Macaca fascicularis: one gene and its partner. The protein of the gene in region 2 interacts with the protein of the main gene of each other region in a biochemical or structural test. Links are inferred from orthologs where the notes say so. Each region holds a gene or a part of one and is shown on either strand. Other genes may lie near its edges.

Evidence for each region.
Region 1: the proteins of TNFRSF13B (region 2) and TNFSF13 form a complex in vitro, tested with the Homo sapiens proteins (2 studies listed by BioGRID and IntAct). The link is inferred for Macaca fascicularis from reciprocal best matches to the Homo sapiens genes TNFRSF13B and TNFSF13.

The regions. Positions count from the first base shown.
Region 1 is NC_088390.1:7,605,960-7,611,131, reverse strand, and holds TNFSF13 (tumor necrosis factor ligand superfamily member 13), read right to left. Parts: upstream 3,552-5,172; 5' UTR 3,262-3,551; coding exon 3,004-3,261; intron 2,671-3,003; coding exon 2,592-2,670; exon of another isoform or gene 2,560-2,591; intron 2,450-2,559; coding exon 2,402-2,449; intron 2,245-2,401; coding exon 2,126-2,244; intron 1,945-2,125; coding exon 1,806-1,944; intron 1,559-1,805; coding exon 1,449-1,558; 3' UTR 1,284-1,448; coding exon of another isoform or gene 1,277-1,283; 3' UTR 1,202-1,276; downstream 1-1,201. Other genes in the region: TNFSF12 (tumor necrosis factor ligand superfamily member 12), read right to left, coding at 4,952-5,172. UniProt on the Homo sapiens protein: Cytokine that binds to TNFRSF13B/TACI and to TNFRSF17/BCMA. Plays a role in the regulation of tumor cell growth. May be involved in monocyte/macrophage-mediated immunological processes.
Region 2 is NC_088390.1:17,064,547-17,069,736, forward strand, and holds the start of TNFRSF13B (tumor necrosis factor receptor superfamily member 13B), read right to left. Parts: upstream 3,241-5,190; 5' UTR 3,236-3,240; coding exon 3,175-3,235; intron 1-3,174. UniProt on the Homo sapiens protein: Receptor for TNFSF13/APRIL and TNFSF13B/TALL1/BAFF/BLYS that binds both ligands with similar high affinity. Mediates calcineurin-dependent activation of NF-AT, as well as activation of NF-kappa-B and AP-1.

The DNA.
Region 1 (5,172 bases), about 9.5 Mb from region 2:
GCGAGCGGGGAAGCCGGGCAGACGGGCCCGAGGGCGGGCGTCTCCGGCCTCAAGCTTCCCGGCTCATCTCTCCGGCGACGGCGGCGGCCCCGCCACTCCTGCTGTCTTCAGGCGCAGCCGTCTCAATTCAGGATTCCAACGCTTCTGGGCCGCGTGCCGCGCCGCCGAACACCCCGCCGCGCCGCCTCTGGCTCTGCTTCAGCTTCAGCTTCCACCTCCACCTCCGCCACCGCCACCGCCACCACCAGCACCACCGCCACCACCAGCGCCACCGCCGCCGCCACTCCTCCCCCCCTCCTCCTCCTTCCCCTCCCGCGAGCCCCGGGCCCACCGGCAGTGTCGGCGCACGATTAGTACGTCACACCCGGCGAAGAGCGCCGGCGCGGCCACCAAGCGCCCAGTCCCGCCTACCCGAGGACGCCGGCGCCACGGGACCGGCCCGCCCACAGCGGTACACAGGACTGCGCCTGCGCACATCTGCCTCCCGGCCGCGCGTGGCGTCCCAGCCACTTTCCCTTTTGCGCCGCGCTCTGTCTTCTCCGCTCTCGCCGGCCTGACCCTAGCGGCGCCCCTAGTACCTTGGTCCGGCGCGGGGCGCGCCACAGGAGAGCCAGGAGGGCGGGAGATCCCCGTACGAGGACCGGGCTGAGGCGAGGCAGTGGGGGAAATGGAGCCGGGGTATCATTCATTCTCTTTTATTTAACTTTAAGCAGGGCTTGATCAGAAAGAAGAGCTCAGAGGAGTGAGGCAACACCAACACCAGGGCGTACGATACATCCGAGGCTCCCCCGACAGCAGTTCCAGCCCGGAAGGGCTTGGAATGGCCTGCCACGCCGGGGCAATGGAGCGCATGAAAGCCAAACCTTGGGACCCGAAGAGTAATTTGACTGCGAAGGCACCGTCCTCGTCGGGCACCCCCTGTAGACGGGCGCATAATAGATACATCTTTGGAGATAGTGATGGAAACTGGGGTCCGATATTTGGAGAGAATGGCGTAGGATAGGGCTTCTTGTGGGGGTGAAGAGGCAGAGGGCACCTGGAGAGAGGTGTGGCATGGAGAACCAGGGGTTTTCCCTAGCAGAGGGCGGCTTCGTGGACTTCGGCCAACCGGCAGGTGCTTCCCTCGAGCGGCCGCTAGATGGTGGTGCCGTTCCGGATGCTTCCAGTGGTCCCCGACCAGGTCTGGACAATGCCTGGCGCCCGTCCCCCGCCCCTCATCTACACACAGGCAAGAATTCGGAGCTCCATGGGGGACAGAAGCAAGATATCCGTAAAATCAAAGTCTAGGGGGTGGGAATGAAAAGGGAAAAGTGAGGAACCGGGAGCCAAACCCAGGAAGACGCGTCTGTTCCTGCACATTCCCTCTCCTTTATATACTCAGCTCTTGGCTGTCTCCAGTATGTACCCACCCTGGTCTTCCAAGCTGGGAGCCACTTTTTATAACACAATCACAGTTTCACAAACCCCAGGAAGGTTCCATGTGGAGAGAGGTTAAGTTTCGCCCTTGCCCGGGGAATTATGACACTTAGAATATCCCCTTGGTGTAAATGGAAGACACCTGAGAAAAGAGAGAAAGTAGATTCACAGTGAAGCACAGCCATCCAGATGCCCTGCTTCCCCCTGCCTTTCCAGCTCCACCGTTCCTCTACCTCCTGTAAGGACCCAGGCATTCTGCACTCACTTCACTCCTCAGAATGAAGAGGTCCGCCTCTGTTTAGGTTTCCAGCCTCCCTCCAATTGGTAGCTCCCTGCACTGCACCCCCTGTCAGAGATGTCCTGCTTTCGGCTGCCCACACGGCTCTCACCTGCGCTATAGCAGCTGTTGTAGGCCCGGTCCGGGTGGGAGGGCATACTTCTTATACATCGAAATAGAGTCTCTTGCTTTCCTTGGCCTTCTCGAGACACCACCTGACCCATGGTGAAAGTCACGTCTTGAAACAGGACCTGGCAGGAAAGGGAGATGTTGAAGAAAACAGGATGGCCTGGCTCAGTTCTGGGAGGCCTCAGGAGCGATAACGAGGGAAGAATGAAGGGTCTGCTAGGTTTGGTATGAATAGAGGGGTCAGGAACCCTCAGTATCGGGCCAAAGAGGCCCCTTGTGAAGCTCAGAGTGTGGCGGGGTTACCTGGCTATACAGCAGATAAACTCCAGCATCCCGGATTCGGACACCATATCCTTGGGCCTGTAGGCCTCTCCCACGCCTGAGAGCTGGTTGCCACATCACCTCGGTCACATCGGAGTCATCTGGAGGTGAGAAGTGTGTCGGTCAGGATTTCTTGGCACTCTCAGATCCTTTTTGGTTCTTCCCCTTTCACCTATAAGAACCCCTTGAGCCCAAGTGCCAGCCCGAGAGTTGCTGGTTATTGCCCCTCCCCAAAGCCATATTTAAAACAGTGCTAACCCTTGGAGGTGGCGTTAATGGGAACCAGGTGCAGGACGGAGTGCTGCTCTGAGGAGAGAAGGAGGGAATCTCAGCCGTGTCCACTTTTCCCCGTTGTGCTGTTGGCAGCCTCCACCCTCACCCTGACTCGGGCTTACAATCCCCATGCTGCTGCACACCTCCCACCCCTGCTGCACCCTGGAAGCCTCACTCTTCTGTTTTTGGGTGAGCACTGCTCTCCTTTTCCGGGATCTCTCCCCATTCTCCCAGGCTTCCGGGGCATCGGAGCTCTGCTCATGGAAAGAGGATCAGGGTTAGATTGAGATGCAAGAGTCCCAGCCAGCCTTCCTTCCCAGCCCTCCCCTGCCCCCGAAATGCCTCAAATCTCTCATGCACCTTTTCCCAGCAACCGGAGTGTTGGTGCTGGCTGCCCTCCAGGATTTGTTAGGTATGAGAAGCATTAACCTTTAACAGTTTCCTTTCCTGGAATGGCCGCGCCCCTGACTTCCAAACCGGAGACCCTCTCTTGCACCCCCTTGAAACTTTGCAGACCAGGAGGCCCAGAGACCCCCCCCCCATGCTAACCATCCTTCTCTCCCAGACACCCTCCTCCCCTCACTCACCTGCTCCGGGAGACTCTGCCAGGGATACCCTTCTGCCTTCTGGGAGGGCCCTCCTGTCCTCTGCAGCCGGCTCACCTCTCTCCTGAGGCTCTGCAGCTCTGTCTGTTGGGTCAGCAGAGCCATGGCACAAGCCACAGCCCCCAGAGCTGCACCCCAACTCAACCAGAGGGCAACTGAGAGTGCCGGCTCTCTGACCGGAACCCCCATGTTGCCTGGAGGCCCTTTGGGGGCTAGCGAGAAAAGAGATGAGGCTGGCATGAGCTGGGGACCCTGCCAACAGCTGTGGCTTCAAGAGTGGGGTAACAAGGAGGTGGCGGGGCGGGTAGGGGTACGGGCAGTGGTGCAGAAGGGAAGAAGGTTGTTACGCAAGGAGAAATAAAAAGGAACTTGAGAATAAAAAGGAGGGAGGAGGAAAGCAAGCTAAGGGTACTGTTAGTGCTCCTGGCACTCCGTCGTGGGGCCAGTGTTGCCTTGAGACCCTCCACCCTCCCTCAGCCTCAGGAGAATTAGGTTCCAGTCCCTCTAGGAAGGACGGGGCTGCCAGTGACACCCAGGAGGAACAGCCAGTGCGCAGGAACCCTAGGGCGGCCCCAGGGTTGGGGGAGGGAAGGTTGGCTGGCGAGAGGGCATGGTGCCAGGAGCAGGATGGGGGGCCAAGCTGGGCAGTGTCCAGGGTCAGGGCGAGGGTGAAAGACCCTCTGGCTCAGGCACAGCAGAGATCACTGGGGCAGTTTACTAGGGGTGACTGAAGGTGGGAAAGGAGGGGTGGGCTCGGTGGGGAGGAGAACCAGGGGCACGGAAGCAAGAAACTGGCTGAGTTCTGGGGTTAAGGCTGGGCCGGGTGTGTTGGAATAAGGCCTGCACTACTCCCTGTGCTGAACTTGGCAAGCAGGACTTCCTGTTTCCCGAGAAAAGCTCTTACATAAGGCTCTGGACGAAGAGACAAAGCAGCAGCCCCAAGCCCCCCGGCCACTGCAGGATTCCTCCCCGGCACACAGGGTTCCGGGTTCCCGTGTGCTTGCTGACTCTGAGCCCCTCCTCCAGGCTGGCTCCTGCCCACCCCACCTCCCAGCAAGGGCCTGTGCCAGCACCTGCTGAATGTCCCGAGGCCACCAAGAGGAAGGGCCCCTGCTCCTCCCAGCCAGGGAGGGATTCCCCCGGAGGAGGAAGTCCGCCTCCTTGGGAAAGGAGGCCGCTTCTGCTGTACCTTGGGCGGACCATTGATTTTTTCCTGGGCGGTGTGCCTTTCTAGCTCTGCTCCCACCTGGGGGTTGGAAGCATGGAGGTCCCCGCTCCCAAGCCTGAACATCATCCTGGAATTCCAGCTGTGCCGCTCTGTAACGCCCCCCTTCCCACGACCCCCATCTACCCTGGGAGTGTCCCCTGAGCCCCAATAAAGAGAGAGACTATGACTTATTCTATTTAATATCCATTTATCAACACTTTGTCACAATAATAATAAAAATAATATCTGTTTTAAAAATCCACAGGGAATTCTCAAGGGAGGAGCTTGTCTTGTTTCTCGCCCCTCACATTTGGGAACTCCTGGCCTAGGCCCAGTCTCTTTGGCTTCCTGCCGCCAGGTCCAGCCCCTCTTAGTGCCTGAAGTGGGGTCTTCTGGACCCATCCTTGCCCACAGAGTACAGTGAACACAATGCCCTGGGGGTCTGTGGCCAGGGGGAGTCGAGATCACTGGGGGCCTCAAAGGGTCAGGGATTGGGGAGCTAGTGAGGTGGAGAGTGGGCGGTGGGGGGCGTTGTAAGATAAGAGTGGGAATACTGTATTTATGTGGGATGGAAAACATGTGAACAGGCCCAGGCAGCCTCTAGAGGGAGGGGCAGGTCTGGAGCAAAGAGCAGCTGAGGGTGGGGCACAGGGGACTGGGGTGCCCAGATAGCTGCCAAGGGGAGCCGGCAGCCTGGGACGACTGTGGGGAGACCAGGGCCCCTCAGTGAACCTGGAAGAGTCCGAAGTAGGTGAGGAAGGGGGCAGCCTTGAGATGGGCCCAGGGGAGGGTGCGGATTCGCAGGGAGGACCCTGGCCGCAGAGCCAACAGCCCAGACACCTGGCAGAGGCGAAGCTGGGGCCCGAGGGAACTCGCTGCAGTGGCTGAGAATTCCTCCAGGCAGCGCAGGGCCAGCACGCCATCCACCAGCAAGTCCAGCTTCA
Region 2 (5,190 bases):
TCCAAAATATATAAAGAATGCTTATAACAGAATAATGAAAAGACAAATAACCCAATTTTTATATGGACTATTTCCATAGACATTTTCCCCCAAAAAACATATAAATGGCCAAAAAGCACATGCAAAAGATGCTCAACATCATTTGTCACTAGGGAAATGCAAATCCAAACCACAGTGAGATACCACCTCACACCCCCTGGGATGGCTAGAATGAGAAAGACGGTCAATGACAAGCGTCAGTGAAGACGTGGAGAAATCAGAACCTTCGTGCCTGAAGTGAATTATAAAATAGTGCAGCCACTTTGGAAAGCATTTGGCAGTTCCTTTAAATGTTAAACATAGAATGTATCATATGACCCAGCAATTCCACTTGTAGGTATCCGTCTAAGAGAAAAGAAGACATGTTCACTTAAAACTTAAACCCAAAAGTTCATAGAAGCATTGTTAATAATCACAGTGACAAAAAGTAGAAACATCCCAAATGTCCATCCACCGATGACTGGATAAGCCACATGATATATCCATAAAATGGAATGTGATTTAGCCACAAAACTGAAGGAAGTACTGATACCTGCTACAACTTGGACGGCCCTTGAAAACATTATGCCAAGTGGAAACAGCTAGTCACAATACACCACATATGATTCCATTTATGGAAAATGTCCAAAATAGGCAAATCTATAGAGACAGAGAGTAGATTAGCCTGGGGCTAGGGAGGAATGAAGACTGACAAAGTTTCTTTTTGGGGTCATCGAAATGTTCTAAAATTAGCTTACGGGGATGGTTGCACAACTCTGTAAATATACCAAAAACACAGACTTGTACACTTTACACAGGTGAATTTCACGGCATGTAAGTTATATGTAAATAAAGCTACTTATTCTAGGGGAGGTGGGAACTTGGCAGATGGAGGACAAGGAGAAAAAAAGACTTTCTATTATATATCTTTCAATACTTTCTGGGTTTCAAACCATCTGACTATACTATCTATTCAAAAGCAAATCTAAAATCAAAAGATCAAACAAAATTAAAGACAGACCCCTGATTCTCCCCATATTTGGGTGGAAGAGCAAAGAGGGAGAAAGCCGCCACCCACCGCATATCACCGTGAAGGGTTGGTTGAGTGGAAGGTGGGCAGGAGGTTCTATGTGACAAGGGCAGCTTTGGAGAGGTTCCAAGACCCATTCATTGCCTGGAAGCCACCAAAGCCACTGGACCTGAAGGAGAGATGGAGCCTGACTGACCAGATGGCAGATGCCAAGCTGACCAGTGGGCCTGTCCCTGCCCCCTCCTCTACCACCATATGGACCTACATAAAATCCCAGAACCATCATCAAGTGCCAAAGGAGGGTGGGAAAACCCCATGACTGACACCAGCCAGGCAGAATAGAAGCTTGAGAGAGAAGCTCCATTGACGGAAAGGGAAGAAAGGGAACTCCTATCTGACACTAGCTCTGTGGGCTGGGCTCACACTCTGGGCCGCCACAAATTTGGATGCAAGATGGAAACTCTCTCCTGCATCCCGAGACCAGACAGCAGCCAAGGAGGGTGATTATCAGAGCCCTCTGCTTGTCCCTCCTCACGTGCTTGGCTGGTTAACAGGTGCTATACCAAGAAAGATCTCTGTGATCAAATTAGTTTGAAAAACACTGGGTTAAAGAAAGTCAAGGCATTTCTTTTAACTGCAGGTCTTCTCAGAGCCTTTCCTTGTGACTCCCCAAGAGGGGGTCTGGTAGTTTCATCAAAGCACTGTTGTGTTTTTGAGGGATGTCTGGTAGGAAAGACAGTCTACTTCATTTTACACTGAGGGGAAGCGGCTCAGCCAAGGTCCCAGAGTGGCTCAGGGCTGATTCGGCAGCACCAGACAGCTGCTGCCACTGCCAGGTCACAGTTCTAGCTGCGTCCTGACTCGTGGTGCCAGAGGCCTGGGCAATTTCATCCTGTGTCAAGGCAGCCTCTGGTCACTGCCTTGTCCAAGTCTCTCAGAAACTTTATGTATTTGAGCCCCTGACTTGGTAGATTCTGGGGACATGGTGGCTGGACACAAAAGAGGATGGGAGAACAGATTTGCTCCCTGCCTGGGGTGTAGGACAGAGCAGCAGGGAGAGGCTGTGAATCTAGGCTGTGCCCCGGTCCATCTGGCCATGGGTTCTGTCTGCACAGTGACGGACCTGGGGCCCTTTCATAAAACCTTAGAAACTCACTCTGATAAAAATGCTATAAGGGCCGGGCACCGTGGCTCACGCCTGTAATCCCAGCACTTTGGGAGGCTGAGGCAGGTAGATTACCTGAGGTCAGGAGTTTGAGACCAGACTGGCCAACATGGCGAAAGCCTATCTCTACTAAAAATACAAAAAATTAACCGGGCGTGGTGGTGAGCACCTATAATCTCAGTCACTTGGGAGGCTGAGGCAGGAGAATAGCTTGAACCCTGGAGGCGGAGGTTGTAGCAAGCCAAGATCAGGCCATTGACTCCAGCCTGGGTGACAGAGCAAGACTCTGTCTCAAAAAAAACAAAAAAAAAACTATAGGATAAATAGTCCAATTTTGTCAACAAATAAATAACCGAGGAAAAAATGGGCGGAAACTGTTATAGATTAAAACATAGCCAAAAGTCTAATGTGGGCCAGGCTGATTTGAACAAATCAACTGAGAAAGACATAGATGAGATAGTCGGGGCAGTTTGAACCCTGGCGGGCTATGTGATGATGTTCAGGAATTGTTGTTTCAGCAGGGGTGATGGTATGATGCTTCGTTTTTTGTTTTGGTTTTAGAGTTTGTGTTCTTAAGGAATAGATCCTGTGGTCTCTACAAATCAAACAATCTGGTGTTTGAGATTAGCATTAAAATGGTCCAGCGGGCATGTAAGGGGGAAAATAGGGGGTGTCCAGAGGGCCGTGGTGACAAAGGGAATTCCTGCTGGTGTGGCCAACCCTGCAGCCTCGATGGCTTCTCTCCCGGAAGGCAAGCCCCACACCCCAGAGGCATCCAGATCCAGGGCTCTCCATGTGCCGGGGCTTGGGAGGCTGGGACTGCCCCAGTGTGTGGATCTGCTGTGGGCCTTGCACCCACCAGACACTGCCAACCCCCACAGCACTGAGGCCCAACCCTCCTCACACCTCACACCTGCCCTCCTGCCCTCCTGCCCTCCTGCCCTCCTGCCCGGCTACTCACACCGCTCCTCCTGGTCCACACGGCTCCGGCCACCTCGCCTGCTCCGGCCCAGGCCACTCATTACTCAGGATGCTTATTATTAGTCTTAGATTTGATTAGTGCCTGGGCTGCACTTCCTGGGTTTTCCCCTCAACCTGTTGGATGTAAATCAGCCACACCCACTCCCGCCCCCATGCCTGTGCACTGGGTCTAAGGAGCCCAGGTGGGTGGCTGCAGCCCAGGCTCCTGGCGTCCCATGGGGTACACACAGAGCAGTGGAAGGCCTGCCGGGCCTTGCGATGAGGTATTGACTATGGGATGGCCCAGGCTTTTCTAGATCTGGCCCTGGCCATCCCTTGGTCCTGCCCCCCTGGCACACACCCCAAGCCAGGCCAGCTCTCCAGCCTCCCAGCAACACTCAGGCTTTTCCCTCTTCCTGGTTATACTTATTCTATTCATTGCCTGGTCAGCCCCTCCTGCTCTTCCCTCAAGGCTCCATTGAGGTGTCACCTCCTCCAGGAAGCCGTCCCTGACTGTCCCAGTCTGTCAGGTGGTGCTCATTCTCTGTGTCTCGTTGACCCTGTCCAGCACCTAGCAGAGCACTGGAGAGGCTGGACCCCAGGGCCAGACAGCCTGGGTTTGAATCTTGACTCTGCTGCACACCAGTGGAAGGCCTTGGTGGCAATTTATGGAACTCCTCTGTGCCTCCATGTTCTCTGTGTAAAACAAGGATGAGGTCGGGCCTGATGGCTCACGCCTGTAATCCTAGCACTTTGGGAGGCCAAGGTGAGTGGATTGTCTGAGTTCAGGAATTCGAGACCACCCTGGGCAACATGATGAAATTCCATCTCTACTAAAAAACAAAAAACAAAAAACAAAAAAATTAGCCAGGTGTGGTGGCCTGTAGTCCCAGTCTGTGCCTGTAGTCCCAGCTATTTGGGAGGCTGAGGCAGGAGAATGGCTTGAACCTGCAAGGCGGAGGTTGCAATGAGCCGAGATCATGCCATTGCACTCCAGCCTGGGCAACAGAGACTCCATCTCCAAAAAAAAAAAAAAAAAAAAAAAAAAGGATGAGAACATTGCCCGTCTCACAAGTGGTTATGAGCATGAAGTGAGGGAGCACAGTTACGTTCTTAGAGCAGGTTCTTGGCACACAGTAAGTCCTCAATAAAGGCCATGGAGGATGAACACTACAGCCCATATTGCACTGCATGGCGACTACACTCCTGTGTCTTCCCCATCCTCTGAAACCTCCCAGGAGATGGGAGGCCCAGAAACAGCCAAAGGCAGAGTGAGAGGAACGTAAAAACCAAAGAAAGCCCATGGGCCCTTAGGAAGAAACTGAAAGACGAGGAGGACGCGGGCAGGTGGAGAGTAAAGAAGGAGGCTCCGGGAAGCAGCTGGAGCAGGGTGATGGAGCACAGAGCAGGAGAGGAGATGCAAACGGTCAGCAAACACGGAAAATGTCCAGTCTCCCAAAAATCAGAAAAACACAACTGAACAATGAAAAACTAACTTTCACCTACTAGGTTGCGAAGTTTTAATGTTTGATAACATCAAGAGCAGGGGGTGATCTACAGAACATAACCTCACGTCCCGCTGGAGGGAGGGAGCTGGCAGCAGCGTTCTGGAGGGCAACTGGCCAGGGTCAGTTAAATGCAGAACACAGACCTTACCCACTCCCCAGAAATTCTCCTCCTCAGTGAGCCTCCTAACGACAGTGAGACACTGGAAACCATGTAAATGTCCACACAGCAGAGGATGCCTGAATAAGCAGGGTGCACAGGGCAGAGCCAGGAGTCAATGCCACAGTTAAAAGAATGAGACATCTCAAAGCTGTCGGGACAGACGCTGAGTAAATAAAAGTAGCTTATAGCATGAGCCTTACAGCATGATGCCTTTAGTAAAACAAAAACAAACAACACACACACAGATACACACACAGTACAGCACCGTGTTGTCCGTGATCACGCACACATAACTGTGAAGCGTAAGAAGTCTGCAAGGACATGCATGATGACTCTGGCTCTCATCGGT